Lonchura striata: one gene and its partners. The main gene of each other region encodes a partner of the protein of the gene in region 2 in a complex. Links are inferred from orthologs where the notes say so. Each region holds a gene or a part of one and is shown on either strand. Other genes may lie near its edges.

What was found.
Region 1: the proteins of CDKN1B (region 2) and CCND1 are in contact, whole or in part, in a crystal structure (PDB 6P8F), measured with the Homo sapiens proteins. The link is inferred for Lonchura striata from reciprocal best matches to the Homo sapiens genes CDKN1B and CCND1. Residues at the interface, in NP_004055.1 of Homo sapiens: Lys25, Pro26, Ser27, Ala28, Cys29, Arg30, Asn31, Leu32, Phe33, Pro35, Val36, His38, Glu39, Glu40, Leu41, Thr42, Asp44, Leu45, His48, Cys49, Met52; in NP_444284.1 of Homo sapiens: Met56, Ile59, Val60, Trp63, Glu66, Val67, Glu70, Glu92, Lys95, Lys96, Ser97, Arg98, Leu99, Gln100, Leu101, Ile126, Tyr127, Thr128, Asp129, Ser131, Arg133, Glu136, Gln139, Met140, Leu142, Leu143, Asn146, Lys147.
Region 3: the proteins of CDKN1B (region 2) and SKP2 are in contact, whole or in part, in a crystal structure (PDB 2AST), measured with the Homo sapiens proteins. The link is inferred for Lonchura striata from reciprocal best matches to the Homo sapiens genes CDKN1B and SKP2. Residues at the interface, in NP_004055.1 of Homo sapiens: Ala181, Gly182, Ser183, Glu185; in NP_005974.2 of Homo sapiens: Arg294, Asp319, Val321, Arg344, Tyr346, Asp347, Gly369.

Annotation. Positions count from the first base shown.
Region 1 is NC_134608.1:55,236,959-55,246,719, reverse strand, and holds the start of CCND1 (G1/S-specific cyclin-D1), read left to right. Parts: upstream 1-5,862; 5' UTR 5,863-6,050; coding exon 6,051-6,248; intron 6,249-7,919; coding exon 7,920-8,135; intron 8,136-8,518; coding exon 8,519-8,678; intron 8,679-9,761. UniProt on the Homo sapiens protein: Regulatory component of the cyclin D1-CDK4 (DC) complex that phosphorylates and inhibits members of the retinoblastoma (RB) protein family including RB1 and regulates the cell-cycle during G(1)/S transition.
Region 2 is NC_134607.1:10,524,559-10,534,207, forward strand, and holds CDKN1B (cyclin-dependent kinase inhibitor 1B), read left to right. Parts: upstream 1-5,267; 5' UTR 5,268-5,709; coding exon 5,710-6,184; intron 6,185-6,727; coding exon 6,728-6,849; 3' UTR 6,850-6,858; intron 6,859-8,093; 3' UTR 8,094-9,323; downstream 9,324-9,649. UniProt on the Homo sapiens protein: Important regulator of cell cycle progression. Inhibits the kinase activity of CDK2 bound to cyclin A, but has little inhibitory activity on CDK2 bound to SPDYA. Involved in G1 arrest. Potent inhibitor of cyclin E- and cyclin A-CDK2 complexes.
Region 3 is NC_134642.1:37,833,906-37,844,070, forward strand, and holds the start of SKP2 (S-phase kinase-associated protein 2), read right to left. Parts: upstream 4,178-10,165; 5' UTR 4,087-4,177; coding exon 4,079-4,086; intron 3,802-4,078; exon of another isoform or gene 3,694-3,801; intron 3,441-3,693; coding exon 3,175-3,440; intron 1,666-3,174; coding exon 1,554-1,665; intron 1,275-1,553; coding exon 1,131-1,274; intron 661-1,130; coding exon 526-660; intron 1-525. Other genes in the region: G-protein coupled receptor-associated protein LMBRD2, read left to right, coding at 8,501-8,674, 8,899-8,978. UniProt on the Homo sapiens protein: Substrate recognition component of a SCF (SKP1-CUL1-F-box protein) E3 ubiquitin-protein ligase complex which mediates the ubiquitination and subsequent proteasomal degradation of target proteins involved in cell cycle progression, signal transduction and transcription.

The DNA of each region.
Region 1 (9,761 bases), on a different chromosome or scaffold from region 2:
GTTGTTGAGGAAGTAGCTGTTATTGTCAACATGCTATATCGGTTTTACTCCAGGATGGGCATTTCAGAAAAGTCAACCAGGAGAAGAATAATCACTTTCAGCAATAGCTACTGTCTAGACTAGTTTAAACTTAACTTTAAACCATACCCTTAGGCTCCAGTTTAGCAATGTATTTAAACATATATTTAATTTTTAGGCACATGAGTAATTCCGGTGTACTTACTTATTTAAATTTAGGCACATGTTTCAGTCTTTTCCTGAATTAGCTTCTAAAACATTCACAATTTAGCCTCACTTCCATCAGTGCAAATCATTGTGCTACATAATTTGATTACTGCAGAACTAGGAAAAAATATTCTTGGTAATTTCTTGATAAAAATGTCCTGCTTTTATTACCAACATTTTGCTGAGGGGTTCAGCTTCTTTAACCAGTTTCCTTCTCCAGCCTGAACTCAAAAGCAAAGCTGGGATTTGATGAAATACTTCAGTTGTGAAGGGAATATGCTCCAACTATACACAGATTTTAAACAGGAGAGAAAAAGTGATGGCATAGTTTTATTGAGCATTTCAAGCAAAAATGCAGCCAGTCCCCTTTTCCCTATCCTCCTTTTTCCCCAACTCAATATTCTGGGACATTACCTATTAATTTCAAGGCATGATGGTGGTCAGCACTCACACCACAACACCACCAGCTTGTGCCCAAAGATGACCTCTGTGTGTATTTTGGGTTGATGTAGTTGTTGATCAAAACTGAAATTCATACTTTATTTTGATTTTTTTTTTTTTTACTTTAATGCCTCTGAAATGGAATGCACACTCAGAAAGACGATTCCTCTTTTTAATTTTCTTCTCCAAAAAGAGATGTGTTCACAGTCCAAGACTGCAAATCTGAGCAATTTGGTCAATGATATAAACACAAATGAAAATTAGCCAACAAAAGAAATTCACTTGAGTTAAACAGGAGGTTATTATCATACCTTGCACCCTCTTCTGTAACTAAATGGAAAATGAGTCAGGTTAAGAACCAACCAGAGGGGACAAAGCAGCTACTGCTAACACTGAGTAGCGTTCCAGACACAGCAGAAATATAAAATAAATAGGATACAAAGATGCAATTCTAGGATTATGTGTTTCCCCAAAAACATGCTATTCCAGATTCATTTTTAACCAAATCAGACTGCATCTCAAGTAAATAAGAAAATACCAGTTGCCACAAACAGCTCAAAATATGTATAAATATTTCCGAAGATTTCACTAAGACTATAATCTCATCTCTCAAGGTTCTCAATTCTTCACTTCCTTTACTGATTTCTGGAAACAAGTGGACCAGGGTCCCCAAATCTTGTTACCCTGCACCATTATTTATATTTTCACCAATCTAGCATGGTGTTGCAGATTTGAAATGGCAGCACCCCGAGTCCACTCCTTTGGCACACACATAGGAGTGCAAACACACACACACATACACATACACACGAGGCTAAAGATGGTAGAAAGCCATCAATGGCAAAGTGAATTTATTTGATTGTAGTGATTAGTACTACACACTACAGGTTCAATCCTGCTCCCTTTGAAATTGGTGGTATTACTCCCATTGAATTCATGTGCTCTGAAAAATGCCTGAGTTTTGCAAATTTATCATTTTGTCATCTATGCTTCAGGTCAAAACTATAATCCAGTGTTTTAGACTTGGTTCTGAGCCAAAAGATTTTTACTGAAGGTTCATAGAATGCATACTTGTCCTTCAGAGAGGTGCCAATCCACTTTACAACGAAGGAGCAGAGTGGCTGAGTGTCTCAGAATGGTCTGAGGGTTGCAAACATCTTGCAGGTGACCACAGCAACACCCCAGCTCCCAGAGTCTTGCCAACAACAGCACCTCACTTTAACTCAACAGAAAGGATGAGAGACCATCCTTTCTGAGAGCATTTCTGCAGTGGATGTGATCCATACTGATTTACTGACATTTATGGGGCATTACGCCCAAAATCGATACAAAACATCTCCCTGTGTTTTTGTTGCCATTTCTTTTTTGTTTAGTTGTTTTTTAAAGAAAATAATAACATTGTGCTTCAAAACCTTCTGAATAAGCAATTCAACAACACATTTCCAATGGTATTTATTTATGTGGCTTTTGGATGACAAAGAGCGAGTGCCATTTTGGGGAATAGAGAAAATGTTTCTTTATGTTGTAAATAAAATGTAAATGCTCTATGTGGCCAAGATGTGCTTTTTCCTACCTCACATATCCATATCAAACCCCAGTGTCTGTGCTGGCCATTTTCATGCTGGTATATTACCAAAACATACTGTCAGCTGAGCAAAACAGAAACTGTACAAAACCAAAATATTCTTCACTAAAACACTTTCACTTTAAGGATGCTGATGCTTAAATACATTGTTTATTCACCTTGTTACTGTCTGCCAGGCTTCCTCTGGTACCTCTCCCTGCACTGGCTCACTTCTGGCATGGCCTAACAGGAAGTTTTCCTCCATGAAGAAATGAAACCTTGCTCCCTGCTTCTTTTTTCCCCTGCACTTAGGCTTTTTGTGTTTTCTTACCCCCAGGATAAACTTGGGCTGAATTCCATTAGTTCTGGGTCTGGCCCTGCTTTTTTGGTCCCATCAGTAACAGCTCATCATCTTGGGACCCCCCAGCCATCCCTACCTTCCCTCCCACCCAGGCTCATGCCTCTCCCCAGCTTGGTGATGGTTCCCCTACAGAAACCCTCTGTGAGCTTTGCTCCATCAAATTCCTCATTTCACCAGCCCCCCACGGCTGCCCTGGGGTTTTGGGCACCGCAGGTGAATGCCTCCAGGTGGGTTTGGGATGTCTCAGAGAGACCCCACGCCCCCCTTGGGCAGCTGTTCCAGAGCTCTGCCACCCTCCGTGTGTCCCTGCCCTTGAGGTGACAATCCTTGTGCTTTGTGTTTACGGCCACTGCTCCTCATCCCGTTGCTGGGCACCCACTGAAGAGTCTGACACCTTCCTCTCGGCACCCCTTGGAGGTTTTTATAAGCATTGATGAGATGCCCTCGCAGTGTTCCCCAGCTCCCTCAGTCTCTCCTCTCAGGAGAGCTGCTCCACACCTGTCATCGTCTGCCTGACCCGCTCCAGCAGCTCCTTCTCTTCCTTGTCCAGAGGAGTCCGGAGCAGGAGTGGGTTTTTTTCTGGGGTGGGTGTGTGGGGGGGAAGACGTTCTCTTCCGCTGCGCTGCTCTTCGCGACATTACGGCGAGCACCGGCACGCCAGGAATGCGCGCTCCCGCGGCGGGGCCGCGCGGCGCGGCGGCGCGCAGCGGCGGGGGCGGGATGACATCATGAGAAAGTGGCGGCCCGGCCTCGGCGCCGCCGGCAGCGGGCGGGCGCCGCGGGGAGGGGAGCGCCGGGCAGGCAGCGAGCGGGAGCGAGGGAGGGAGAGCGGGCAGGAAGGAAGCGCCGTCGGAAGCCCCCGGGGGCGAGAGTGGCGGAAGCGGCCGCAGCACGCATCCCGCATCCAAGGATGGGCGGCTGGGGAGCGCACCCCGAGGCTCCGGTGCGGGCAAGGCGGCGCGGTCTCGGTGGCTCGGGGACCGCCCGCTGCCGCCGTCGGAGCGAGCGGGGGCGGCCCGGCGGCGGCTCCGGCGCTGCCACCCGCCCCGTCCCCTTTGTGTCGGCGGGACCGGGCGAGCCCCGGCCTAGATCTGCCCGTCCCGCCCGGTAACAGCCCCGCGCCGCCATTGGCTCCCGCGCCGACGCTTCCTGCGGCCGCGCCGCCCCGCGGGGGCTCCCCGGGCCCCGCGCCAGCCCCGCCCGCCGCCGGCACCGCCCGCCCGCCGCGCGGCCCCGCGTCCCGCCGCGCTGCTTTTATGAATGGAGCGGCGGCCGCGTGCTCCGAGCGGGGACAGGCACCTCGGAGAGCCCGCTCCGACCGGCGGCCACCGGCAGGATGGCGAGGCTGCGCCGCGCAGAGAGAGGGACCCGCGTGGCTCGGCGGCGCGGCCGGGAGCAAATGTTCGGAAGGAAAGAGCTGGCACGGTCCAATGGAATGCGGCCGGCTGCCCCAAGGGCTCGCCAAACCAGCTGCTCACCAGAAAGGTGTTGGGGGTGCAGGGTTGTTAATTAAATAGGGTCCCCCCGGATGTGCATCCAATTCCCACCCGACAGCGCGGGGTCGTGCGTGCTTCTTCATTTGATATTAAAACCTTTCCGGCCAGCTAAACTTGTGGAAACAGAAGTGGGCGTCCTGTGCGTGAAGCACAATAGACAGGCGGAGGGACAGGGGACAGCTTCCTCGCTGAGGGACCCTCCGGAGTCTCCCCATGGGCTGTGGCGTGCAAGGGGAACTGAGAGCGCGGGGCCTCCGCCATCCTCCTCCTCCTCCTGACAGACGGAGACAAAATGGAGACAAATGGTCAAGCAAACGAGTAAATGAGAAAATGGGCAGACGGTCCATGCAAAGAGATTACATAAACACACAACTGTGCAACAACATGCCCTGTGATCTTTGGCACTGCTCTCCCTGCAGGTCACGCAGGAGAGATGCTGGGTCCTCCATGGCTAGCCACCATCTGCAGTTTCTGCCGTCAGCGTTGTACCCCGGGCAGGTATTTGACACCCGGGTGATGCCAAAGCATCAAGGCTGAGGTTAATCCGTGCACCCCAATTTACAGCCTTCCTGCTTCTCCCTATGCCACTTTGGGGCAGGACAAGTCACTTCTCCCATGCATCAGCCTCACCTCCAGTGCTCCCCAGTGGGCCTCGAGTTGTGCTGTCAACTCCTGGGAAAGTGAGGCTTTCAGAGATGCCCTTTTTTAACAAACAGTGGGAAGCAGAGCGTCCTCAGGTACAGCAGGCTCGGCCGGGCAGCGGGCGTTATTTATGGTGGGGCCCCTCCACGTGTGGACAGAATGTCCTGTAGACACGGATGAGGCCCCTGCAGGCTCTGGCGGCTGCCAGCACCTCCCTCCCAGCCCACCAGCTCATCTCCCCAGAGGTGCTGGAGGGAGCCCTGGCCTCCATTTTGCTGCTCCGCTGGGATATTTTCCCTGGGTGGAGGTGAACAGTGGGGGTGAGGTGCGAGCGTGGCCTTCCCCGGTGTGCTCTGCCACCGGCTGCACCTCGGATTAGTTCTCGCCCCGTCCCCTGCCATCTCCATGCCCCTCTGGGAAGGCAAAACCTTTAAAGTGAAAGGAAAGACCTTAAAAAAAAAAAAAAAAAAAAAAAAAAAAAAAGAGGTTGTAAAATAACCATCTTGGCAGAGGGGTGGACACCTCAATTGTTTTAAAAAATTTGGTGTGCAGTAAAACCATCCTGGCTGGGAAAATACAGGACTGAGGAAATAGGAGAAAGGCTTTCCCTTGGAATCAGCTACAAAGAGTAGGCATTCAGGTTGGGAGTGCGCCTTTTTAAAGGACAGCGTGGCAGCTACATGCCAGTGACAGCACGATTAATAATTAATAATAATAATAATAATAATAATAATAATAATAATAATGATAGCAAACAGCGAGGCGCTGGTTCTGCTCCACTCCCCTCCCTGGCGCCCCTGTAAAATAATACGAAGTCTCCTTGCATTTCTCTCCCTGGTGTCTGTGTGTGGCCTTAGCCCCATTCATCATTTGGCTCCCAGTGCAAAACTCGCTCCATTTTTAAAATTATGCATGATCCACTGAAGAGACAATTTGGGTTTCCCCCACTTCTCCCTTGCCCTTGAAGAAAGCGAGCCCTTGTCTCATTTGCATTAAAACCCTGCTCTCTATAAGTTAAGCAAAGGGGAAGGACTTGAAGCCTATGGGATGGCTTTAGGGCTCTGCCCCTTGCTTTTGGCTCTCTCTCTCTTTCTCATTCTCTCTCGTGCTTTGATCTCTGCTTAACAACAGTAACGTCACAGGGACTACACCAGGAGAGTTTTGTTGGAAGTTAGAAAGTTTTGCAGCCTCCAGAGGGCTGTAGCGGCAGTAGCAGAAGCAGCATCCAAGGGACTCCTGGAAGGGGAAGAGAGAGAGCGAGCGAGCGAGCGACTGACTCAGTCCTGCTGCAGAGAACTGACTCGAGGCGACGAAGGCAGACATGGAACATCAGCTGCTGTGCTGCGAGGTGGAGACCATCCGACGAGCCTACCTGGATGCCAGCCTCCTCAATGACAGGGTGCTGCAGACAATGCTGAAGGCGGAGGAGACCTGCTCGCCCTCCGTCTCCTACTTCAAGTGCGTGCAGAAAGAAATCTTGCCATATATGCGGAAAATAGTTGCCACTTGGATGCTGGAGGTTTGTATCTTTTCGGGAACTTTTCCTTGCAAGCTCCGGCACCGAAACGAATTAATCCGGGGAGCCGCTGCCCCGTCGCCTGCCCCCACTCCCTTTCCCCGGGGTCGCTTCCCCGGCGCGGCACACGTTGCATGCCCTCGTGGAACGAGGCGGCGGTGGCCGGCTCGGTGTCCCCGCTGCCGCAGCCGGTCCCGGCGCCGAGGGGCGGCGGACGAGCCCTCCCCCCCCACACACCCCGGTGCCCCCGGGAGTCGGGGGGTGCCCGGCAGCCTTTCCGGCCGTCGGGGATCGGCGGTGCCAGCGAGGGGAGCCGGGGCAGGGCCGGCTCGGGGCTGCCCTGGCCCGGCGGGGAGCGGCTCCGGCCCGGCCGCCGATCCCCGGCCGCGCGGGGCCGCCGCCAGCCCCTGCCAGCTCGTGTTTTCTGGGGATTTTATTTTAAATTAATATCCCTGTACACGTATGCAAGCGGCTGCCCGTGCCAGTATTATGCGCCATCTTTGTTCTTTTTATTTGCAAAGAAAAGTGTTTATTAATCGGGAGAAAAACGAAGAAAGTCCCGGGGAGCAGAGCCAAGGGTGTGTGTGTGGCGGGGGGGAGCGGGGGAAGGCGCCGGGGGAGGAAGGTCGGGGGCCGGGGGACCCCGCTGGGGCTGCGGGCAGGGGGACCGGCTGGAGGGGCTCCTGCGCTTCTGGGGGGAGTTGCAGGGTGAAAGTTCCTTTGTTCAACGCGAAGAGAGGCTGGAGCTGCGGTCACCCCTCAAAGGCACGCTTGTGCTGCGGCAGCGATCGGCAAGGTCGCCTGGGAAAAGCCAGTTTGAAAGGGCCTCGTCCCTGGCGGGACACGTCCGAGGGGGCTCCCAGAGGGAGCCCCAGGAGCTGGGCTACATTTTCATGCCTTTTCGGAAGCCCTGGGTGCCCGTGATGTATTTTTAATTAATTTTTGAAACCGCAGCGCCCTGCCTTGCTCTGGGGAAATGTCGCGCCGGGCTGTGCTGCAGGGCGAGAGAGGGAGGCGGTGGATTTCACTTCGGGGGATCCCCCTGTAGCCCCCCAGCAGGACCAGAGCCACGGGCCTCGGTAAAGGACCCCCGCTGCTGCATTTTCAGCCTTTTTTGAGAGCTCGAATTATTTTTTAAATATTTTTAAATATTTTTTGAAAAGATGACGTCTGGGGAAATGAGGCTGGACGCCACCTTTGTGTCTCGACCGGAGAGGGGAATCGGGAGCACAACGGCAAATTAGATGAAAAAATAAAAGCGAAATTAATAAATCCGGGGCCCAGCCCGGATCTGCACCCCGTTACCAACCACGGGGGTTAGCGTTTTCCCCCGATTTCCGTCTTCTTCCCTTTTTAAAAATTTGTTCTTAAGGGCTGGAAAACTGGGCGCAGACCTCTTCTTCGATAACCCCCCTCCCCTTTTGCCATGAATCACCTGCGGGTTTCTAACGCAACATTTCCCCCCACTTTGTCACTCGTGACTTTCATTTTCTTTGATGACGCTACTTTCCCCATATTTATGTATTTTTTTCCCAAATGCGTTTCCCCCTTGTCTCCTTCAACCTTGCCCTGCAAAGCCTGGTGGTGAGGGAGGAGGGAGGGCGAGAGCAGCGGGACAAGCCTGGCTTTCGCCTCAGTTAAATTATTCTTCAACGATCTCTCTCCTTCTTGCAGGTTTGCGAGGAGCAGAAGTGCGAAGAGGAAGTTTTCCCCTTGGCTATGAATTATTTGGACAGATTTTTGTCGTTCGAACCCCTCAAGAAAAGCCGATTGCAATTGCTCGGAGCTACCTGCATGTTTGTGGCTTCAAAAATGAAGGAAACTATTCCTCTCACCGCAGAAAAACTGTGCATTTATACAGATAACTCCATTAGACCCGACGAATTACTGGTAATTTCACGTTCGATCACTTCAGGAATTTAAAAAAAAAAAAAATCGAAATAAATATTAAAATATAGATATACAGAGCTACAGGGAAAGGAAAAAAAAAAAAAAAAACCAAAAAACAAAAACCAAACGGCGCGTTCGGAAGCTGGCGGCAGGCAGGGATGGGGCCGGGATGGGATCGGGAGCAGCACCGGGACCCCCCCGGCCCGCGGCGCTGGGCGGCCCGCGGGCTCCCCCTGCCGGGCCCGGCGGGCGCTGCCCCGGCCCGGTGCCGGCGCGGGGGGACCCGCGCACCCCGCCCCGGCAGCGGGACAGCGCTCTAATCACGCTCCCCCCACTTCTTCCTCTTCTCTCCTTCCCCCTTCCCGTCCCTCTTCTCTTTGCAGCAAATGGAGCTGCTGCTGGTGAATAAGCTGAAATGGAATCTGGCTGCAATGACCCCCCACGATTTCATTGAACATTTTCTTACTAAAATGCCTCTGGCAGAGGACACCAAGCAGATCATCCGTAAACATGCTCAGACTTTTGTGGCTCTGTGCGCTACAGGTATGAGCCCTGCACGTTGCGCAAAGCGCGTTGCTCCCCGACATGCGCCCACCCCCCGGCTTGTAAAGCTTCCCGTAGCTGTTGGTCTCAGGCGCGCTCGCAGAGCTGCGGGGAGGTAGTTTAAGCCCCGATTATTGCCCCTTGTTTGCAGAAGGTGGATTACTTTGCCAGAGGTAAGTTTTTCTTTTCAGAAGATATTTCGCTTCTGAGTCGGAGTTTTGTGTGGTTGTCAGGGAGGGAGAGCGACTGCCCCCCAGCCCTGCTCTCTGTAGCTCAGCGTGGCACGATTTCTTCACCTCCCCACACCGGATTTATGTGGGGGCTGCAAATGGCTTACTGTCCGTGCGGGGAATCCCTCCCCGTGTGGATTCATTCTTTAGGACAAGTGTTTAAAGGCGGAGGGAGATTTTCCCTGTCAATAGCACTGTGTGGGGGTTTTAAACCTTCCCTCTTCAAGTTGCGTCTTCTCCCCCCTCCTCGGTGGCTGGTGGATTGGAGGAGGGCCACGTGGCACAGAGGCTTTTCCTGGCACAGGATCGAGCCGCTGCCATCTGCACCCTCGTGACCACGTGCTGTGCTGGAGCCATGAGCAGGGCTGGCCTCCAAAGACACCAAAAAGCCATGGTGTCCACTCTCCAAAACCTCGGTGGGACATGCCAGTGGCCCGTTAGTGCTGTGTAGCTTGTTTTCCAGATGTTGGATTTGGTATGAAAAGGTTGAAGGAAGATGGCAGGCACTCAGAAGGAACACAAATGAACAAAAATAAAAATAAACAAAAAACCAAAAAAAGACACCCAGAAACAAAAAAAAACAGTTTTATTTCACAGAACTGGTCCTGCTCCAAGGCCTAAAGATAGAACGACCAAGCCATAAAAGAGAAGTTTATAAACACTGGCATTGCTCTTCATCTTGGGCCTAACATCAGCGTGAAGGGCAGCTCATAGGTGAGGTTGCCTGGAGTAATGCTCAGTGCTGGAAGTGCCACAACCTTCAAACCGCTGGCAGCAATATTTTGGGAAAATCCAGTGTGTCCCTCTGTGCCAGGTTCTACCAGATATGAGGCTGCTGTGACTCTGGAGGTGT
Region 2 (9,649 bases):
TTATTGTTGGTGCTCAGCTTTTGCTTTGGGTTTTTGATACTCAGAATTTTATAAACATGGAGTGGGTTAATCCTCTCCACACCCTGAAAAGGGAGAGGGAGAGAGGGAGAAGGAAATGGAAGAAGAAGGGGAAGGGGAGGGAGAGAGGAACAGAAAGGATGGGAAGGAACATGGAAAGGGAACTTTAGCTGCCATAAGAAGCCTCTAGTTAAGACTCTTATGCTAAAAATTTGCTATTCTAATGAAGTGGCATGGGTTATGTCATGTATTAAATGAGAAGTCTTACAGACATGGCGATAGACTGAAGATTACTTTTTTTTCATATGGTGTGTTTTCTTCAGAGAAATTAGGTCACTTCACAGCAAGTAATCAATTTACTGATTTAGGCCCCACCTCTACAACAGTATTGTTTGCTGGGACAACATAATCATGTGTAAGTGTGTGTATTTATTTTTAGAGACTGTATATTAACATCCTCTTTCTTTCTTATTCCTGGTTTGAAAAAGGAGAAGTTGGTTACCCAGAAAAGTACATCCATCACTTCTGGCTATAGGACACTCCTGGCTTCACCTGTGCTTCAGGGGCAGTTCAAGCTTGCTCCTATTTTGCACGTCAAACAAAATGAAAAACAAAAATTAAATTGTCTGAGCCAGTCTTCCCTGAGACAAAATCAGGGTATTTCAGAAGGACTCCTTCTTTAGCAAGTCAGGGGGAGTTGGTGACAAGCAGAGAGCTGCAGAAAGCTCTCTCTTTGAAGAATGAGATCTCTCTTTGGAATGAATACTTTCAGTGCTAGTAATTTAACCTGTATCTTCTGCAGACATAACTGTGTAACCTACCCTATCGTTATAGCACAGAAGAGGCATTTCTGACACAGCACCTGACTTTAAAAACAAATCCCATTAAGGACACCCTCAAATCCCCCTAAGGACAACCCAAATCCCATTAAGGACACTCCCAAGCTGTACCTGCAGGAACACCACCACAAGGACTCAAAATCCCCTGGGCTGGTCCTGGCATCTGAGCCCACCCAAGGCTGCTGCAGGTGTTGGCAGGTCCGGGACCCCTGGGCACCCCTGGCCCCACCTGCCAAGAGGGGAGCGGGAGCAGAGCCCGCAGAAGTGCCAGCAGCAGGGATGGGAATGGGACTTGCCCAGGGACAGCACTGGGGACGCTGCCAACAGCAAGGTCAGGTCCTGGCGCTGGCCTGATCTCTGTCCTTAGGCTCCCTCTAGAGTTTACAGCAAATGAGCAGAAGGTCTCAAATGCCACTTGAACAGGAGGGTAGTGTTTCCTTGCCCCCCTAGGGAGTGCTCTGCTCCTGGTCACTGCTGGATCATGTCCCAGAGCCTTTGTACACTGAAGTGGTTCCTTCCTTCCTGACAGTCTCTGCTGCTGAACCTCACCGGGTCCTAATCCTGCCTAGAAGGAAAGGGCTCCTGTTAAGTGAATATTATATGGTGAATACTTGGGGCCTGCACCCCAAATCTCATGGCAGGCTCACCCCACATCTCCTGAAGGAATCAGCACTTGGTGTAAACCTGGAGAGGCGGGGAAGTAGCTGTGGCTTAGTAATAGCTGAGGTGGGTTAGGAGCAAACCTCCAGATGGGTCATGCAATATCTCTGCTTTTTTCATCCTCGACTCTGGAGGACACATCCTGGTGGAGGAGCTCAGGTATGATTCCCAATTTTCCCCCTATTTGCAAGGGAATATATAAAATCCCAAGCAACCTAGATACTTTGTGTGTGCAGTTTGGATGGGCTTTGCTGGATCACGGGACAGCTTTATGAAGTGTTGGGGAAGGCGGGTGGCCAAAAAGAAGACGGGAGGCTTGCCTAAGCGATTCTGGTGGAAAGAGAAACAGCGAGCAGCTCTGCCAGTGGAAAAACCCAAACAAGAGCGAGGAGAGGGGTAGTGGGAAGAGAGGGGATAGGGTGTACAGAGCCTGTTAGAACAGCCACCCAGACCTTCCTACAAACACTCCTCCCTCCTCCCTGCTTCACTCCTCCAAGTTTCGTGCTGTTGTTTGGTTTCCTTTTTTTCTCTAATGCTCTCCTCCGGTCTTTGACTGGCTGAACCGGCCCCGGAGGGGGCAGAGCCGGCTGTGGAGGCTGGAGCTCTGCGGGAGGCTCAGCCCTGGCCCCCGTCCCCACCCCGCACCGCCTCCCCCGCAGCCCCACTGCTGTACCCCTCTTTAACAAGACGATGGCGCTCTGATCTTTCCACAGCTTCACTCCGGGACTTTCGAGTATATTTTTTCCTGTATTTTTTTTTTCCACGTTTCACTGCTACTACGGGCGGGCGCCTGCCTCTGTCCCGATTTGCTGCAGCCATTGGAGGTGCTGACTGTAAACAAAACACTTTAGATCATGGCAAGGTCGCTGCAGACACAGCGTTCTTTTTTATTTTTTCTTTTTTTTTTTTTTTTCGGTTTTTGTATTTTTTTGTTTGTTTTTGTTTGTTTTTTGTTTTTTGGGTTTTTTTTTTTTTTTCTTTCCTCCTCTGCAGCCGCAGCGATTTAAGGTGGATATCCGAGCTCGCATGGAAGAGGTGGGGGGACGAGCCGCGAGAGCCGAAAGAACGGCGGGAACCAACCCCGATCCCAGAGCACGGCCGCCGATACTCCGGGGATGCGGATGCTCCCGCCACGGGGGAGAGACTCTGACTTTTTTTTTTTTTTTTCCTCCTTAATTTTACCCCCTTTCTTGTTGATTTGTCCCAGCGCGACCCTAACGTTTCCGGCGGCACGGGCTGGGGGTTGTGCTGTCCCCAGAAAGACGCGCAGCTACCGCAGCTTCGGGGGTACACCCTCTCCCCTTTCCCTCTCCCCAGTCCCTCTGACAGCGAGGCAGGGTGATAGAGGAGAAGGGACAGAGGGATAAACCGAGGGGCAGACCATTTCTCATTCATTTTCTCCGTTGCTTCCATCAACGGCTTAAATTATTCGCGCCCCTCTTCTCTCCCCCCGCCCCACCCCCCCCCTCCGCCCCTTTGGATTTAATTATTCGTGCTCAATATACTTGTACATCATCCAGGGACTCAGTTTCAGGCCCTTGTGCTAAAGAAAATATAAACAGAACAACAACAACAACAACAAAACCCAGAAGGTTTTTGTCCTACAGTGACTTTTTTTTTTTTATTATTTTATTTTTTTTTTCCAAAGGCTTCAGATAAATCAGTTCTCTCTGTTGCACTGCTGTCATGTTTCTGCTGCTTTACTCGGGTACAGAGTCTTTTCCACTATTTGGAAACCCATACTCCCCACATTTTTTTTCTTTTTCCTAGTTTGTGTTTATACTCTGGTACAACTGTCATAATCCTACAGTCAAGAGGGCTGCCTTTCCCTTGTGGATTAGGGAGACAAGCAGAGACTCCCAGAGAGTGGAGAATGGGAACCCCTCACCTAAGGAATCTCAGGTGGGACACTCAGTAGGTTACCAGCAGGGAAGCCCCCATCGACAGGATGAGCCCTAGGCATCCTTGGACACTTTCTGCAGATCACTTAGTCACAACTTTCTTGTGTGGATCAACAAAACAAGCTCAGTGTCCCTACACCTGACAGAGAAAATGAAGCTTGAAATGGAGTGTTCTTGCTGTTGACAATGGAAGTCAAAGACAGGAAAACCTAGAGAAATGAAGATGAAATCCTGCAAATACAGCAGATGCAGGCCCACTTTTTTCCAGCTGATGGAGTTTTATCATGGACTTGCAACTTGAAAAATAATCTCAGGTCCTGCAGACATGTGAATATTAGCTATAATTTTTTACAAGTGAATTGCTGAAACTTGTAATTTCTGAGAGCAGTTAAAAACAACTTCCAAGTATTAAAATCCCCAGCATATAAATAAAAATAATGTGGCTAATAATGTATTTCAACCTTGTGGTTTTTAAACTAATCTAATTTGTTTTGTTTTGGTTTTTTTTTTTTTTTTTTTTTTTTTTTTTTTTTTTGCCTGTACACATAATTTTTTTGAACTTGGGTCTGATGGTACTCTGCTGAGTGGTGTGAGCATAAGCTGGAGGCCTGGAGGAGGACTGATGATGGCCAGCAAAGTGCTGGCCTGGGTTTGAGCACCGTGTGAAGTCCACTGTTGTGTCCTCTCTTCAATGTGTCCTCCTGCTGTGTCCTTTCTCCCATGTGTCCTCCTGCTGTGTCCTCTCTCCAGTGTGTAAAATCTCCACATTTTCAAGGCCAAACCTGCTGACTCTCATCTCAACCAGTTAAACCAAATTATATAGACCCCTGCCCTGTTGAGATACTTGTGTATCCCCCTCACCCTCCCACAGTGAAGTTTGGATAGATTTGCTCTGCTTGCAAGAGACATGTCCAGATGGATTGGTGTGAAGAGCCTTCAGGGCCTGCCAAAGATTCAGTCACCAGATCTGGACACCTGGAAATGTCACAACCTTTAGTGCCTGAGAGATCCTGCAGTGTCACACAACACTCTGGGGGCCTTCCCTGACTGGTGAGTGAAGATGGCTGTGGAAAAGGGCTGGAGAAAAGGGGGCCAGAGAGGAGTGCACAATTGCTCTTATGTCCACTACACCTGCTCTTAACTATACGAGGAAATTGCTTAGAAAATCCCTGGCTATGACTTTTTGCTCATCTGATCTTTTGATCACACAAACAGGACAAACCCCAATGCTATATTTTTTTTCTTTCCCTGAGTAGCTGACATCTGAAATCCCGGCAGATGTTATTTTAGAGACATTTCTTAATCTAGTCCTCTCTCTGCCGAGAGGGCAGGAGATGATCGCCTTGACACTAGGAGCCATCAGCCCATCTCCGCAGGCAGTGCGCTCAGGATGCTGCGGATCAGGGTGCTGGTCCCCGCGGCATGCCGTGGGGTGGTCAACCTGCCCACTAGCCCCGAGCTTGCCCCCAGCCCCCGACCTCATCGGGGACGTGTCGCCAGAGCCCAGCCCGGCCAAACCAGCGCGGTGAGCCTCTGCTGTCACTGCTCTGACTCAAAACCAGCCGTCACTATTCCTCAGGCATTCGGGCCAGCAGCGGAATGGGGTGCGTGTTTTTGTGGGGTGGCACAAATCCCGTCGGGTTTTGCGGGCTTTACAGAGGGATAAGAACAGGTTCGACAGTGTCGTCCCACCCCTCTCGTTTTCCCTTCGCTCCCAGCTCTCCCCGTCCCACCTTTAGAGCCGGCGGCGGCGGCGGGGCAGGACCGGGAGGACGGGGCGGTGCCCGCCGCTGTAACCAATGGCTCAGCCGGGCTGTTTAAATAGACTCGTCCTGTCAATCATTTTCTTCTTCGTCAGCCTCCCTTCAATCGCCATATTGGGCAACCAAGAAAAGGGCTCGTCTCTTGTTTTTTTCCGTCTCGCTTTTACTACGCGGCGGCGGTGCGATCGGCAGGGGCATCATCGGCACCAGCGCCATCGCCATCGGCGGTGGGCCGGCACCGGGGGGGCAGCGCTGAGCTCCGCTCCTCACCCGCCCGGGGCTTCCCGGCGGCGGCAGCGGCGGCTCTCGGGGCTCATCCCCGGGCCGGTGCTTATGCAAGGGCGCCTCCTCGCCCCTTCTCCGCGGACCGAAGGCGAGCGGGGCCGAGGCAGGGCCGCAGCGCGGGGCAGCGCGGAGCGGAGGCGCGGAACGGCGTCGCCGGGCGCCGGGAAATAAAGGGCGGCGGAGGCCGCGGAGAGAGAGCAGCGAGAACAACAACCGCCGCCTGGAGCTACAGCGTGCGGGGAGATGTCAAACGTCCGCATTTCTAATGGGAGCCCTACCCTGGAGCGCATGGAGGCCAGGCAGTCGGAGTACCCGAAGCCGTCAGCGTGCCGGAACCTCTTCGGGCCGGTGAACCACGAAGAGCTCAACAGGGAATTTAAGAAACACCTGCAGGAGATGGAGGAGATGTACCAGAGGAAGTGGAATTTCGATTTCCAGAATCACAGGCCGCTGGAAGGCAGGTACGAGTGGCAAGCCGTGGAGAAGGGGAGCTCGCCCGACTTCTACTTCAGACCCCCCCGGCTACGGAAAGCCGTCTGCAAGTCCGCCGGCCGCCAGAGCTTGGATGTAAACGGGAATTGCCAAACCGTGGTTTTTGTCGGTTCTCAGGGAATCTCAGAGGACACTCACTGTGTAGCTCAAAAGACTGATGTTTCAGAAAATCAGACGGACTTAGCAGAGCAGTGCACTGCCCAGAGGAAAAGACCCGCAGCCGATGGTAACGTACCCCACGGCTCTGCCCCGCGTCCCACTCGTGTCAGCGCCGGCGCTCCAGCCCTTCCGCCCCTGCCACGCGTGGCACCGGCTCGGTGTGCCCACCACCCCCGCCCCTTTCCCCCTAAAAAAGCCCGGGTAGTGTTGGCAGTCCCGGGGGTCCCGCCTAGAGTGGGAGCCGGTAGATGATTTGCAAGGACGAGCCCTTAGACGCGGGTCAGATTCCCCAACCCCTCGCTGTTCCACTGCGGGGACCCGGGCTCCTGCCCAGGTGGGAGGAGGTTCACAGCGTTCAGCAAAAGACGAATATGGATTTTAGCCGAAAAGAGGGAACTTGGGTCTCCTGCCTAGGGAGAAGCCCATCTCCCCACCCCCTGTTCGTCTCACGCAGCTGATACCTGACATGGGGATCTGGGAATATTCCCCCTCGGCTCCATCTATCCCCCCCTGGATGCCAAGCAAACATCTGGAAGGAAAATATTTTAATATCTTTCTTCCCCCCCCCCCCCCCCCCCCGACCCCTTCGTTTTTAATTTTCACCTCCTAGATTCCTCTCCTCAAAATAAAAGAGCCAATACAACAGAAGAAGAGGTTTCAGAAGACTCTCCCAGTGCCAATTCAGTGGAGCAAACACCCAAGAAATCAAGCCCGGGAAGACATCAAACGTAAAGCGTTTAGGTCAGTTCCCTTTAGGATTTGGCATTAGGATGCAAGTAAGGGAAAGAAGGAGTGACCGAGTGTCTATCCCGCATCTCTAAAGGGGTGGGGAGGGGGCTTCGAGCCCCTGTGGGCTCGCCGAGGGGTGTTTTCTTCGAGGAAGGGTGGCTTACCCCGAGCACTCGGCAGTGGGTGTGTGTTGGAGGGTGGGGAGTGGGAGGTGCAGGGCTTGAAAAGAACAAAACAAGGAGCGAAGCCCAGCCTGGGTTCGGCAGCGTCAGGGGGCTGGGGCAGGGGCTGCGGTGGTACTGCCCCTGCCTTCCTGCGGGATGGGCACCGGGGCCAAGGAGGGCCCTTTCCCAAGGACCGTGCGGATGCAGGGGTGGAGTTGGAAGCGCGGCTGGTGCATGCTGTCAGATGCCAGCGGATTTCGGGGGACTTCCCCTGTTCCCTGCTCCTGGGGCGTTTTCACCTCCAGTGTCAGCCTTACCGTCGCATGTCGCGGCCACCTCGCACTGCGGGAGAAATAAGTCAAGAAGTTTGGTTTAAGGGGAATCCGGGCACTTTCTCAAAATCCGAGCAATGCAAGGTTGTTGTGTTTGGTATGGGGTTCCCGCCCCCCCCCTCCTCCCCCCCCCCCCCCCCCCCCCCGCCCGTTTTTCTTGTGTTGTTTTGGTTTGGTTTTAGAGGCTGGCAGGGAGAAGGGAGAGAAGGGAGTGGGTTAATGGGAGGCTGGGTTGTGCAGGTTTTTTTTTTTTTTTTTTCTTTCCCCTACCCCCTTTTTGTTTTGAGGCGAGGGCTGGTGCGGGGAGAGTTGGTAAAAGTTGCGCTGGCGGTTTGGGAGCCGAGGTTAGGAATGAGGTTTACAATAAAACGATTTGTGATTGTGCAGAGAGATACTAAGCTGTAAAGCAGAAGTTGCAACAAATTAGTCCCGCTGGGGTGAGCCGTGGCCGAGCGCGGCCGTGCGAATGCCGCCACTCCCGCCCGCTTTTAGGGGTGGGGGCTCGGGAGGGGTCCCTCCGCGTTCCCCGCCGAGGGATGGAGGCTCGGGGCCGCTGGCAGCGGTGCGAGAGCACGGCCGGCGCGGGGGGGCGGCAGGGGCCCCGCCCGGGCCGGGCCCGCCGCCCTGGGGATGCGGTGTCGGTTTGAACCGGTTGCACCGCGGATCGCGTTTCTTGTCGATGTTTTCTAATCGCTTTCCCCGGTCTTTTTATTCTTTTTTTTTTTTTTTTCCTTCATTATTCCCGTTGCAGAACAGAGGATATGCGTCCTCGTTCGTCGGGTGCGGCGGGTGGCGATGAAGAGAGAAAGATGAAGAGTTGTAGTGGGAAAGGAAAAAAATACATATCGCCGATCTTCGGGACATGGAGGTCCTGTACAAGCACTGAAAAAAAACAAAACAAAACAAAAACAACCAGCAACAAAACAACAGCAACAAAAAGCAAACAATAACACTAAATTTTAGGCACTCTTAAAAGACCTGCCTCTAAAAGCATTGGATGTAGCATTGTGCAATTAGGTGTTTCCTTATTTGCTTCATTGTACTACCTGTGTATATAGTTTTTACCTTATGTAGCACATAAAACTTGTTGGGAGGGGGGAGGGACTGGAAGAGGGTGACCGATTGGAACTTGCTTTCACAATCTAGCAAGCCAAGAAATCTATGAAGAGAAGCAGTGTAGGTTTTTTATTACTTGAAGATGTATTGTCCCTTTAAGTGGGTCCATAGTGTTTTTCCTCTCTTTTTTTAAAAATTTGTTTAGTTTTTTTTTTTTTATGTATCATCGTGTTAACTGCTCAGAGCAGGTTATTGTGAAATTTCTTCCTCCAGCATTGAACTGAAGAGGAGGGAGCTGTGATGATTCCGTTATGTAGTAGCAGAAGTTCCTCGCTCTCCCACTCTCCAAATCCATATACCAAAACTGGTAACCTGTAAAAAGTTGTGTAAAATCATCCCACCTGAATACATTTCCTGATTATTTTTTTTACCTAATCTGGAAGGCTTTTGCTCTGAATCTGGAATATTGTTGTTTTCTGATCTGACCCACTTCCTGAGTGTGAGAGAAAAAGGGATACTACATCTTTAAACAGTATTTCTACGTTGCCTGTGTACTTGTATGTAAAAATAAAAAAAAAGTTTGAAGTGTACCTGTGTACATAACTCTGTAAAGACACTGAGAAATTATACTAACTTATTTATGTTAAAAGATTTTTTTTTAATCTAGAAGACAATATTTTTTCCCCATAAAGCCAAAGTGGCATGTTTTTGTGCATTTGTAAATGCTCTATTTGGTAGACTTTTTAGAAGGTTTTTTTTTTTTCTCTTTTCTTTTTTTTTTTTTTCCTCATAATTAATATGGCTGTGCTTAAAAGATTGCAGACTGAGCCAATTTAATTTTTTTTGTAATGTGTGGGGGAAAAAAATCCAGATTGATATTGTTTCACATCAAGCAATCAATAAAGAAAACTGCCATATATAAGAAGTATGGTCTTCATTATTGTGTGTTTCAAAGTCCCTCAGCCTGGCACAGGAGGAAACGACTGCAAGAAATAACAACAGTTTTCCTTTGAGTATCCATCTCTTCACGGGTCTCTGGTGGAGGTGAAAGTAAAGGATGCAGCACCCTTAGTACAGTATTGCCATTTCTTCATGGAAGGGTGCTCAGGCATTGGAACGACCTAGCCCGGACAGTGGTGGAGTGACCATCCCGGGAGGGATTTCAAAGACGTGGATGTGGCACTTAGGGACAGCGTTTAGTGCTGGGTTAACAGCTGGATTCAAAAGAGGGCTTTACCAACATAAATGCTT
Region 3 (10,165 bases), on a different chromosome or scaffold from region 2:
GTCTTTGTCATCTGACCTTTGGTCCATGGCACCTCCACAACCCCCTGGTGTGACGAACAGAAGGTTGACTACACACCCATTAATGTCTTTGCAGCTGAACCAAAAAAACATTTCACCTTCTTGACACAATCTGTAATCTTCCAGGGCTTCATAAAAAGTGAGCAACAGTGCATAAGCACAATGGGCACCTGGTGGGAGAGGTACTGAGAGCCCTTGGAATAGAAAAGAACCTGCACACCAAACATGAAGTTCTCTTGGGAGCAAAAAAATGCGAAAATTAAAGTAGCTCTGCTATGAAGTTTAACTTAGGGATACATAAACCATAGAGAGGTGAGCAGTTTCTCCAACCTCCTACTACTCTGAGGAATTGAGAGGAAAAAAAGCCAAACTAAATAGCCACCTAAAACTGGCCATTTCAAATACACCCACAATGAACAACATTCCACTGCATTCTTTCATTAGCCTGCACAAAATGATGGCACCAAACAGAAGGTTTCACTGAGTATTCCCAATCAGGTCACTTACTTGATGATGTTGTCAGAAAGCACTAGACCCTCCAAGCTGAGGTTCTGCAGCTTTTCACATAGACAAAGAATACTGTGGAGATCTGCAGCAGACACTGTGCAGTTTGACAAATCCAGGTGCTGAATTTTAAGAAGACTAACAAAAAAAAAGAAGAAAGCTTACTAAAATTGCATTAAAACCCGCTCCATAAATTCCCCACATCACAAACATATCCCATACACTAAAAGCATACACAATTTACAGAAAATATTTCTACGTAATACCTCGCAACATCTTAAAGTCTATCCTACTGGAGTTAAATGATTTGAGTGTACCATGTAAAAATGCTGGAGATTATGAGAATTCAGGGCTCTACAAGATATTAACTGAAAGGGTATTATGATGCTTGATATTTAAAAAAAAAATCACATCACCTTGATTCTAAGTAACTGACAGGTGGATGCATACCCTCCTGTTTCAACACACGCCTAATCACTGATCAACTCTTCCACATTCCAGACACAGCACAAACACTGCTGATGGTTGCTAATACCTTAAAACCAAAACTACACAGACTAAGTACTTGAGACAGTTTCAGGATCCAGAACATGCAGGAAAAGCCTTACTTGCTTGTTTTAAACAACGGATTCCCAATGCAAGATCTTGGGCAGCGGAACGCAGTAACACCTGCAGGCAACAGGTGACCAAGCAGTCCTGGCAGCAGATTCCCACCAGTCAAATCAAGAGTCTGCCAGAGAGATTCATCAAATCTGGGGCATAGAATTTTACTCATTAGTGAATTCAAATGGGTAACAGGTCAAAGCTATGAGTACAACCACAGAAAGTTTTTGGTGTCAAAAACAGAGAAGGGAAAGCTATTTAATAGACTACAATAATGTTAAAACATGTGAGGCATCTTTTGGATATACATACCCACATATGGCCTAAATTGAATTATATATGTATAAATAAGATGAAAACCAGACCATTTAATGGTATATGAAAACAAAGATTTTCCTCAGTGCTAAACGAAGAGAAATAATACTTACGAAAGTCGATGCCATCTCTTGCAAATAGTAGAAACTTTCAGTAAATCCTTTAGGGGCAAACAGGCAAAGATTGCCAGAAGCAATTCATCTGGAAGTGCATCCAAAGAAATACCTGTAGGGAAAGAGCAAAACACATTCTAGTTAAAGCTAGTTCATTTTCACCTTCTGGTCAGATGCCTTGCTTGGTTTGGTTGTTAAAAGCCTCTCTACAGTTTCTCTGTAGGCCACACATCAGCCTACATCAGACATCAGCCCCACTATTCATCTCCCTTGCAGCTTATCATTGTAGGATGACATTTTTACCATCTTTGCCTAGGCATGACTGGTAAATGGAAAGGTTCCTGTAATATTCACTTTGTATACATAGTAAAGCCATGGACACTACTCACATAACTCACTTTGGGAACAAGAGCATCTTAGTTACTGCCTCTGTAATCTAATGCTTGTATGATTTTCTGGGGTTTTTTTCCCCTCTGTGAATGATCATTCTTCCTATGCATGCAAGGGTCCCAGAAGGGAGCTGAAGGTAAGTTATGCTTCTGCATGATACACAGACAAAATCAGGTACTACACACTGCTTCCTAAAACATACATGCTATCACCACTCCAAGAATTATGTAAAACAATGTGGTTCAAACCACAGGGCTTCTCTCTGGGCTCCAGAATGTGTCATGATTCATATGGGAGATTTGAGAATGGTGGAGCTCAGTAACAGCTGCCTTTAACCCAGCAGTGCGTCTTATATAAAAAGAGGATTGTCTGAAGGCATTTCCACCTTCTGTATGACAGCATAATGCCTGGAGAGAGCTGCTTATTTATTTTGCATCCCATACTCATCCAGAGTACAACCGCACTTAGACACCAAGGAAAGAAACCTAGTATTCTCTAACGCCCCTTTCAAGAGTCCAAGAGCCCTGCTCTTTCCCTTTCCAGCACAGCAGGCTGCCACCCTTTGATGTGATTTCCCTCATATGGTTCTATGCCTCTGGCATGGTCCCTCATATTGCTTGTTTCCATCAGGAGCTGGCACACAGCCCTGCTGGCACACCTCAGCCTGCACTCTTTTTACCCTTCTCCTCTTGCCTTCAAACAGGTATTTTTTGGATTGACTTTGGTTTTAGACTGATTGATTTTAGCTTGCTTTTTCTCTGTGCTCTTTAAGCACCTGGTAACTAGAATGAATGTTGCCAACAAACTTTGTCACACTTCTGCTTTTATATTAAGCCTACTTTTGCTACTGATTTTCGAGCGACCTTAAAACACTGATTCACAAACACAGCCCTGCTGGGCTGAAGTGCCACCTATGTCCCATACAGAAGAGCAAACAGGCACAGGGACATGCAACACCATCCCCCAGCACAAACACAAAGGTGCTCATGGGGTTAGGCAGCAGAGAACCCTGTTTTTCATGGGCCACAATTCTGGAGCCAGACACACCACCCCTATTTAAAGGCACACATAAAAGAGGATTTATCACCCCAAGCCTGAAAGCCGCTATATCTGAAAGTGACATTCTGCTGGATAAGAGCAAAAGAACTAACAACAAAGCAGGGCCGACTCGTGATGCTCACTCTCCATCTCTACCAAAGGGTGAGCAAAACCTGGACTAGGGTGACAGTACCTGACTCTGCCTGTCGGAGCAGCCATGGCTGGCGCACGATAACAAAGTCCTTAAAGTCCTTTTCGTTGTCCTTCACCTTCTGCCTTTTTGGAGGAAGACAGGGTGATGACACCAGCAGGTCCTGTGGTGTGTTTTCATTGCCCAGCTTGTCTTTCTTAAGGGCCGACACTCCCATACCCGAGAGAAGCTCCGAGGTCTTGCCGGGGTCCCATTCCAAAGTGGTGGAAACATTAGTGCTAGAGGATGGGATCTCCTGGAGGTGCTTTCTGCAGACACAGCAAAACCCAGAGGCTCTGAGAGTACTGCCAGATTGACACTAAACACAGGAGGGGGATCCTTGAAGCATTTCAGTCACACGTACTCCACATCCATATGCAGGGCAATTAAGTGTGGGATATCTGCGGGCGCTGGAAGCACGAGCGGAGGCCACAGCGCAGGCGTGTGCTCGATCTGGCAGACTGAGGAAGAGCGCGCCTGGGACTGAGCGCGCCTCGCTCCCGGATGGGGCGGGCGAGGCACCGGGGAGCGGAGCCAATGGAGCGGCGGGACGCGGCAGCCTCCCGGCGCCACCAAACCCGCCCGCAGCCGCGACGGCAGCGCGGGCACCGGGACGGGACGCCCGAGCAGGTGGGGGAAGCGCTCCCCGCGGCTGCCGGGATCCCGAGGGCAGGACCCCCCGCTGGCCGGGGACAGCCCGCGGGGCCGCACGCGTACGAGCGATCCCGGCACGGCTCCCATGCCCAGGAGCTCCTTCGCGCTCCCCGGGTCCCGCACCCGCTCCCGGCGCTCCCACGCACGGCCCCCCCAGGCACCCCCGCGCAGCCAGGCCTCCCGAGGGGTCCGTGAGGGCTCCCACGCAGCCCGGCAGCGGAACTCGCACGCGCGCGTCCCGCCGCCCCCGTACCTGTACATGGCGCTCGGAGGTCCGCGCCTGCCGCGCGCCCCGCGCCTTTCAGCACCGCGCTATCCCGGCGCCGGCCGGAAGCCGCGGCGGGGGCAGGAGCGCAGAGGCTGCCGGGAGCTGTAGTTCGCAGCCCTGTGCCCGCCCGGAGGCGGGGCCGTGCCGGGCCGGCGGCAGCGGGCGGCGAATGGCGGCGGCTCCGACGCGGAAGAAGCCGGGAGCGGCCGCCGCTCCGTGTGCCGCGCTCTGAGCCGGGTGCCGGCCGGGATGGTGGGCGGTGGAGCCCCGCGGGGGACGCGACGCTGAGCGGCTGCTCGGCCGTGGTGAGACGCAGCGGGCGGGATGCGGGGCCGGGCGGAGCGGGGCCGCAGTGCCGAGTCACGGCCGGGAGCGGGGACAGGAGCCGGGTTGGGGAGCGGCAGTCCCCGGGCACGTCCCCGGCGACAAAGACGCGGAGGGAAGGATGGTCGCGGAGCACGGCTGGGCGAGGGCGGTCGGTGCGTTGGTTTCCAGGCTCGCATGCCGGGTGTTGCCCCCCGGGCACGTACGGCGGGGCTGTGCTGGTTCCGAGTCCCTGGAGCTCGGTGCTGTGCCGCACAGGCCTGTGCGCACACCGCCGGGCGGGGACGCCGGGGAGCGCTGGCGCATTCCAGCGAGAGAGGTTTTCTCTGGGAACACCTGGTCCTGAGCCTCACCATGCCTTGAAGAGACCCCGCAGTCTTTTCACACCGCGGGACTTTCAGCAATACAGCTCTTCCTGCGTTTTTTACGCTAAACTCCTTGTTTTGAAATTGGTGGGGATGGAGAACTAATTCTGAACACACCTACAGCCTTGCTCTTAGTCAACCACTTGATTGCAGATGCTGTCCTTTGTTTGCTGCATAGCGATGGAGAGACGTGCCTATAAAATTGAGGGTGGTAATGGAGCCCGTAGCAAAGAGCACACAGCTTTCAGTCACATACAGAGAGAGAATGATGTGACTCAAATTAAGATCCAAACAATCTTTCAAAAAGTATTTTTTCACCGTTTCCGGTTTTATCTTAAGTCACGGAACAGTTGTTCAAAGATTGTTTAAGCAGATAATCAGATGAAAAAGAGGTGGACTTTTGGGTAAAAAAAAAAAAAAAAGCTGAGTTTATTTCACCTTTTTTTGCAGCCCCTTTTTCCTTTGTGAGTCATGTAAATCTTTTTTATTAATGTATGGGAAATCGAAAGAGGGTTTTACAAAAAACCCGAGTGTTTTTTAGAATCTGGAAATTAATAAATAGTCTGCCTGAAAGCAGTGTTTGGGCAGTAGTCATTTGACTGCCTTACTGACACCTGCTTTGTGTGAGCGCAGTCTCCCATCAGGCTGGGAGACTGGCAGAATCCTTAACAGATATGCTTTACTCTTTCTAGCCTTTCTTTAAGAATATAATACTGGAGTGGATTTGTTAAATTTGGTGCTATATTAAAGCTCAAAAGTGTGGGGGTTTTCATTCTCTGCTGTTTCATTTAGTAGGTTGAGTTTTCTGTACCAGGCAGAGTTCATTTGTAATGTAGATGTCGTGAATGCAGTTGCTCTTAGGTTGGCAGGGTAATTTAATACTGTTGATAGTAGGGAGTCTCTCATATTTAGGGTGTATTAAGCCTGAACTGAGTCCTTTATGGTGCATTCAGTGTTAGTAGTTGGGTAGAATGAAAAACTGCTGATTTTGTCCGTCTAAAAAGAAGCAGGAAAATCCTAAGCTAACACAGGAGCATGTCCTTATGTTTTATTGCTTAAGTTACACTTCCTGTGCCAGTGTTTCAGCTTTTAATTTTATTTGTATTAATTTGTAGTTGCCTGCTTTTTCAGAAACTGAGTATGCTGATAAGTACTTCTCAATTCATGGTGAGGGCTCTTGTTACTTTGTCATTGTCATTGCTTTAATAGAAGCATCCTCTAAGCCATTGAAGGTTCCACAGTACAAGAGAGCTCTTCTGAAGTGGTTGTTTCAGTACAACATTGTTTTAGCAATTTTGGAATTCCAGCAAGCAGATACTACGTAGCTGTATGCCAATAGTGAGATGGCTGTCTAAATAAAGTGATGAAACAGGATGATAGGTAAGAGGCTTAGCTTTCTTTGAGCTAGCAACCAGGTTCAGTGGCAAATGCTGCTTTCCACAGGAAGGCATGGCTTTATAGCCTGCAGTAATGTATTTTAAGGCCTGATCTAGTAGCACAGGTCCTAGACGTATCTGCATCTGCACTGTTGGATTGCATTCAGTTCACCAGAAGAGCTCTTCTCAAGTATTGCATTTCTCACTTTGTGGATTTTCTTCCATTTAATCGTTCTGTGTGTAGAGCTGGTTTTAAATGGTTTCTATCTAAAAATTTTAAACTGTTACTTTGAAAATGTATATATATTAATTCAAAACAACTCTGTTATTGGTCTTGGTCTTTTGAAAAAATAGCCTTTCTTTTTTGTGTTTTGAGATTAAAATGGGAACCAGAGAAGAACATAAAGATGTAGTTTACTGACAACTGCAAAGTCACTTTTGTCTTTGAAAGTGAGTTAAGTTGCAGTAGGAATCAATTCCCTCTTTACTTTAGAACATTCAGTACGTTTTTATAACACTTCTGGAAGTACACTCATGATAGTAGCTGAGCGCGGCATCTTGCACAAAAACATTTTACCTTTTGTTTTGGTAGAAGCTTTTTAGGTGTGACTGTAATAAAACTTTGTGACTAATGAAGTGTATGCTGTATAATTTTTTTTGTTTACGTAGCAAAAGGTGTGGTGCTAATGGGCACGAAAAACTGCATGCCAGATGGCAGTGCCTTAATGAAGCTGATACTTTTAGAAGCTGTAATTGTTTTGTTATTTTTGCTTCTGCGAAATTAGCTGTTATACTGTAAATTGAAAAGACTTTTATGTGGAAGCAATAATGGTGCAAAAGAACAGTCAAGGACTTGCTTTGAATAAGTGATTGAGAAATGGGTGAGATATCCTGAGTTTTTAATGTACAAATTATCTAACTAAAGTAGAGTACAGACAGATAGTAAGGAGGGGATTTGTCTTAATGGAAGTGTTGATAGTTTTATAAACATGTTTGACAAAAGGCAGGAAAGTAAAAGTGTGTGAATCTTTGACTAGAAACAGGAAGATAACTCGCTGGGGAGAAAAAAGTCACAGAATAATTGTTCCTCTGTGTCCATCAAGGTAGTAATGACTTAACAAACTTCTGAGGTTTTTTAGTGTACATAAGAGAGTTTTCACTGTGTAGTGCCCTCAAGCATTGTAGATCTGCTTAAGCAATTCACTGAGAAATCAGTAAAAGAAACTGTTCACTTTACGAAGTTCTAAAGAGATATAAAAGTAAATAGAGAGGAATTTCAGTAATAGCATTCCTTTTAAATCTCAAGAAAAGTGGAAGTACTGGAAGTCTTAACAGCAAAGCCATAGCAAAAACTATTTCACTTAAATAAAATTAGTGAAATGTTAATCTCATTGGAGAGACAAGAAAGACTGGCCACAGTAATAAACCTTTTAAATAACGCATAAAATGGCTGTGATAAAATGATGCTCATTACAGAGGTCTGAAGCAATTTAAATAAAAATGTAACAAGTCAGTGACATTTTCTGTAATGGATTTGTGCAGCTCACTGTCCCTTTGTGTAATAGCTTTGCTGTGTAAAGCTGTATGAACTTTCTGACAGTAGTTCTGATGGTAAGAGAGTAATTAAAACACAGAAGGACAAGCAAAGCAAAAATACATAATGGCAAACTATACCAAATGAATTGAGACCATTGTTTCTCTGAATAAAGAGAGGAGTAGGAAGGTGAATCAAAATTCTTGACATTTCAAACCTAAAAGAGGTGCATTACAAGTAGACTAACGCATTCTTTTCTGTGTTTTTATGCTCTATTAAAGCTTATGTACAGACTTTAAATATGTATTTAAGGTACACTCCATTAAAAAAGTTGTTCATTAGCTATCCAGAAACATTTAATGTAAACATTTAACCCTTTGAAAAAATTAGTTGATTGCTTCTAAAAGGAGGAAAAAAGAGCAGAATAGAATTTAATCTTGAAATTTGTCCTGGACCTAAAGTTGGGCTAGTAGTTTATTTAAGGACAGAGATTTGCCTCCTGGATCTATTGTATATCAAGATGATGAACAAGAGTTGTCCTAATACATTGCTGGAAATGACAGCATTGGAATGATATGTTTTGATTTCCTCAGAGGATTTCAGAGCATCTTGCTGAAAATCTTTGGTTTTTTCTGATAAGAATCTTGGTCATGTGAAGTGTGAAAAGTTAGTTAATGTTTTAAAGTGTCCATTGAACAACTCTTCTGTGTAAATATATTCTGGAGATTTTAATGGTATTAAATATCATTTTGTCTTGCAGCTCTGCTTTCCCAAGTGAGAGTGGTGTGGCTGGGGCCAGTATTTAACAATGAGTGGTGCAGCACTGGGCCTCGAGATAGTGTTTGTCTTTTTCCTGGCCTTATTCCTACTTCACCGGTATGGAGACTTCAAGAAACAGCACAGGCTGGTGATTATAGCAACATTATTGGCTTGGTATCTCTGCTTCTTGATTGTATTCATCCTGCCTCTTGATGTCAGTACGGTAAGAAACATGCAGGACTTCCTGCTTAATTGCATCAAATGTTTATGGTATTTCTCTAAACTAGTGATTGCAGGAAACCATCTCTTAGAAACACCAAAGAAGTCTTTCATGTAGTATCTTAATAAATTAAACATGACAATGCCTTGTGTTCATAATTAATTTTATTTTCTGTTGGTCTCATCAGACAACAAATCTATTCCAAACATTTTAAATTTATCTTTTAGACTATTTATAATCGATGCAAACTTGCGGTTAACTCCAGTCCTGCAGAAAGTAATGGCTCTTACATTACTCTTGCTCCAAGGTATGAACTATATGTTTTTTTATCTTTAGACTGTGTTTTATAATTTTCTTTTTTTAATTTATAGCCTGTTGTGTTTTTAAGACTGATAAGTAAGTGTTATCTCTGTGATGCAAAATTTGAAGTTTGTAAATACACAGGACAGTGAGGGAAAAGGTGATGAAAGGTGGATCTTTATCTGGTGATATTTTTTTTTATGTCACTAGATTTCCTTTTTTTTTTTTTTTTTTTTAAAGCAATAGGACTAAGCTTTCTGAGCAATCCTGGTTATGAGGAGAGGCTTTGATGAATGCTTATCCTTTACAATCTTAAAGACTTTAAACCTGAAAATCTAATTTTATACCTTTAATTTACACCATATGAATGAAATCAGCTGCTTGTCTTATATGTCAGGGGCATATCTAATTGCTTCTTAAAATTACATTTACATATGGTAGTTACATTTATCTGAAATGTACTGTATTCCACCAAAGTCACGGTAGCCTGCTAGGTGTGTGCTGGCAGGAACAATGTAATCCCTAACCATGGAGAAGTAGACTAACGTGGGCTCATTCCATGGCTCTCATCCGTTAGCCGACACTGGCTGTTTCCCTGTGTTATTTATGTGTGCGGTGTAGTTATCTGTAAAATGATCAGAGCCTTTAATGTATCAGCCAGTTTCTGTGCAGTCTTGCCAGTCTTGCTGCCCCAAAGAGGGGCCCAGAAGAATGGTGAAGTGGTAGTCACACAGTATTGCGCCCTATACTTAAGACCACCCAGTGGATGTTAAATCTATTTAATTATATACACAATTAGAAAACTATTCAGTAACCTTTTAATTTATCTATAGCTTCAGACAAACTTTTTTCCTTAGACTCACAGAATGGTTTGGGTTGGAAGAGACCTTAAAGATCATCCAGTTCCAATCGGCTTCCAGAGCCAGGAACATCTTCCGCTAGGCCAGGTTGCTCCATCCAACCTGGCCTGGAACACTGTCAGGGTTGAGGCATCCACAGCTTTTCTGGGCAACCTGTGCCAGTGCCTCACCACCATCACAGTAAAGAATTTCTTCCTAATCTCTTATTTAAACCTGCCCTCTGTTGGTTGAAAACCATTGCCCCTTGTCCTGTCACATATAAAAAGTCGATTTCTTTCCCTTTTATAAATCCCCTTTAGGTACTGGAAGGGGCTATAAGGTCTCCTTGCACCTT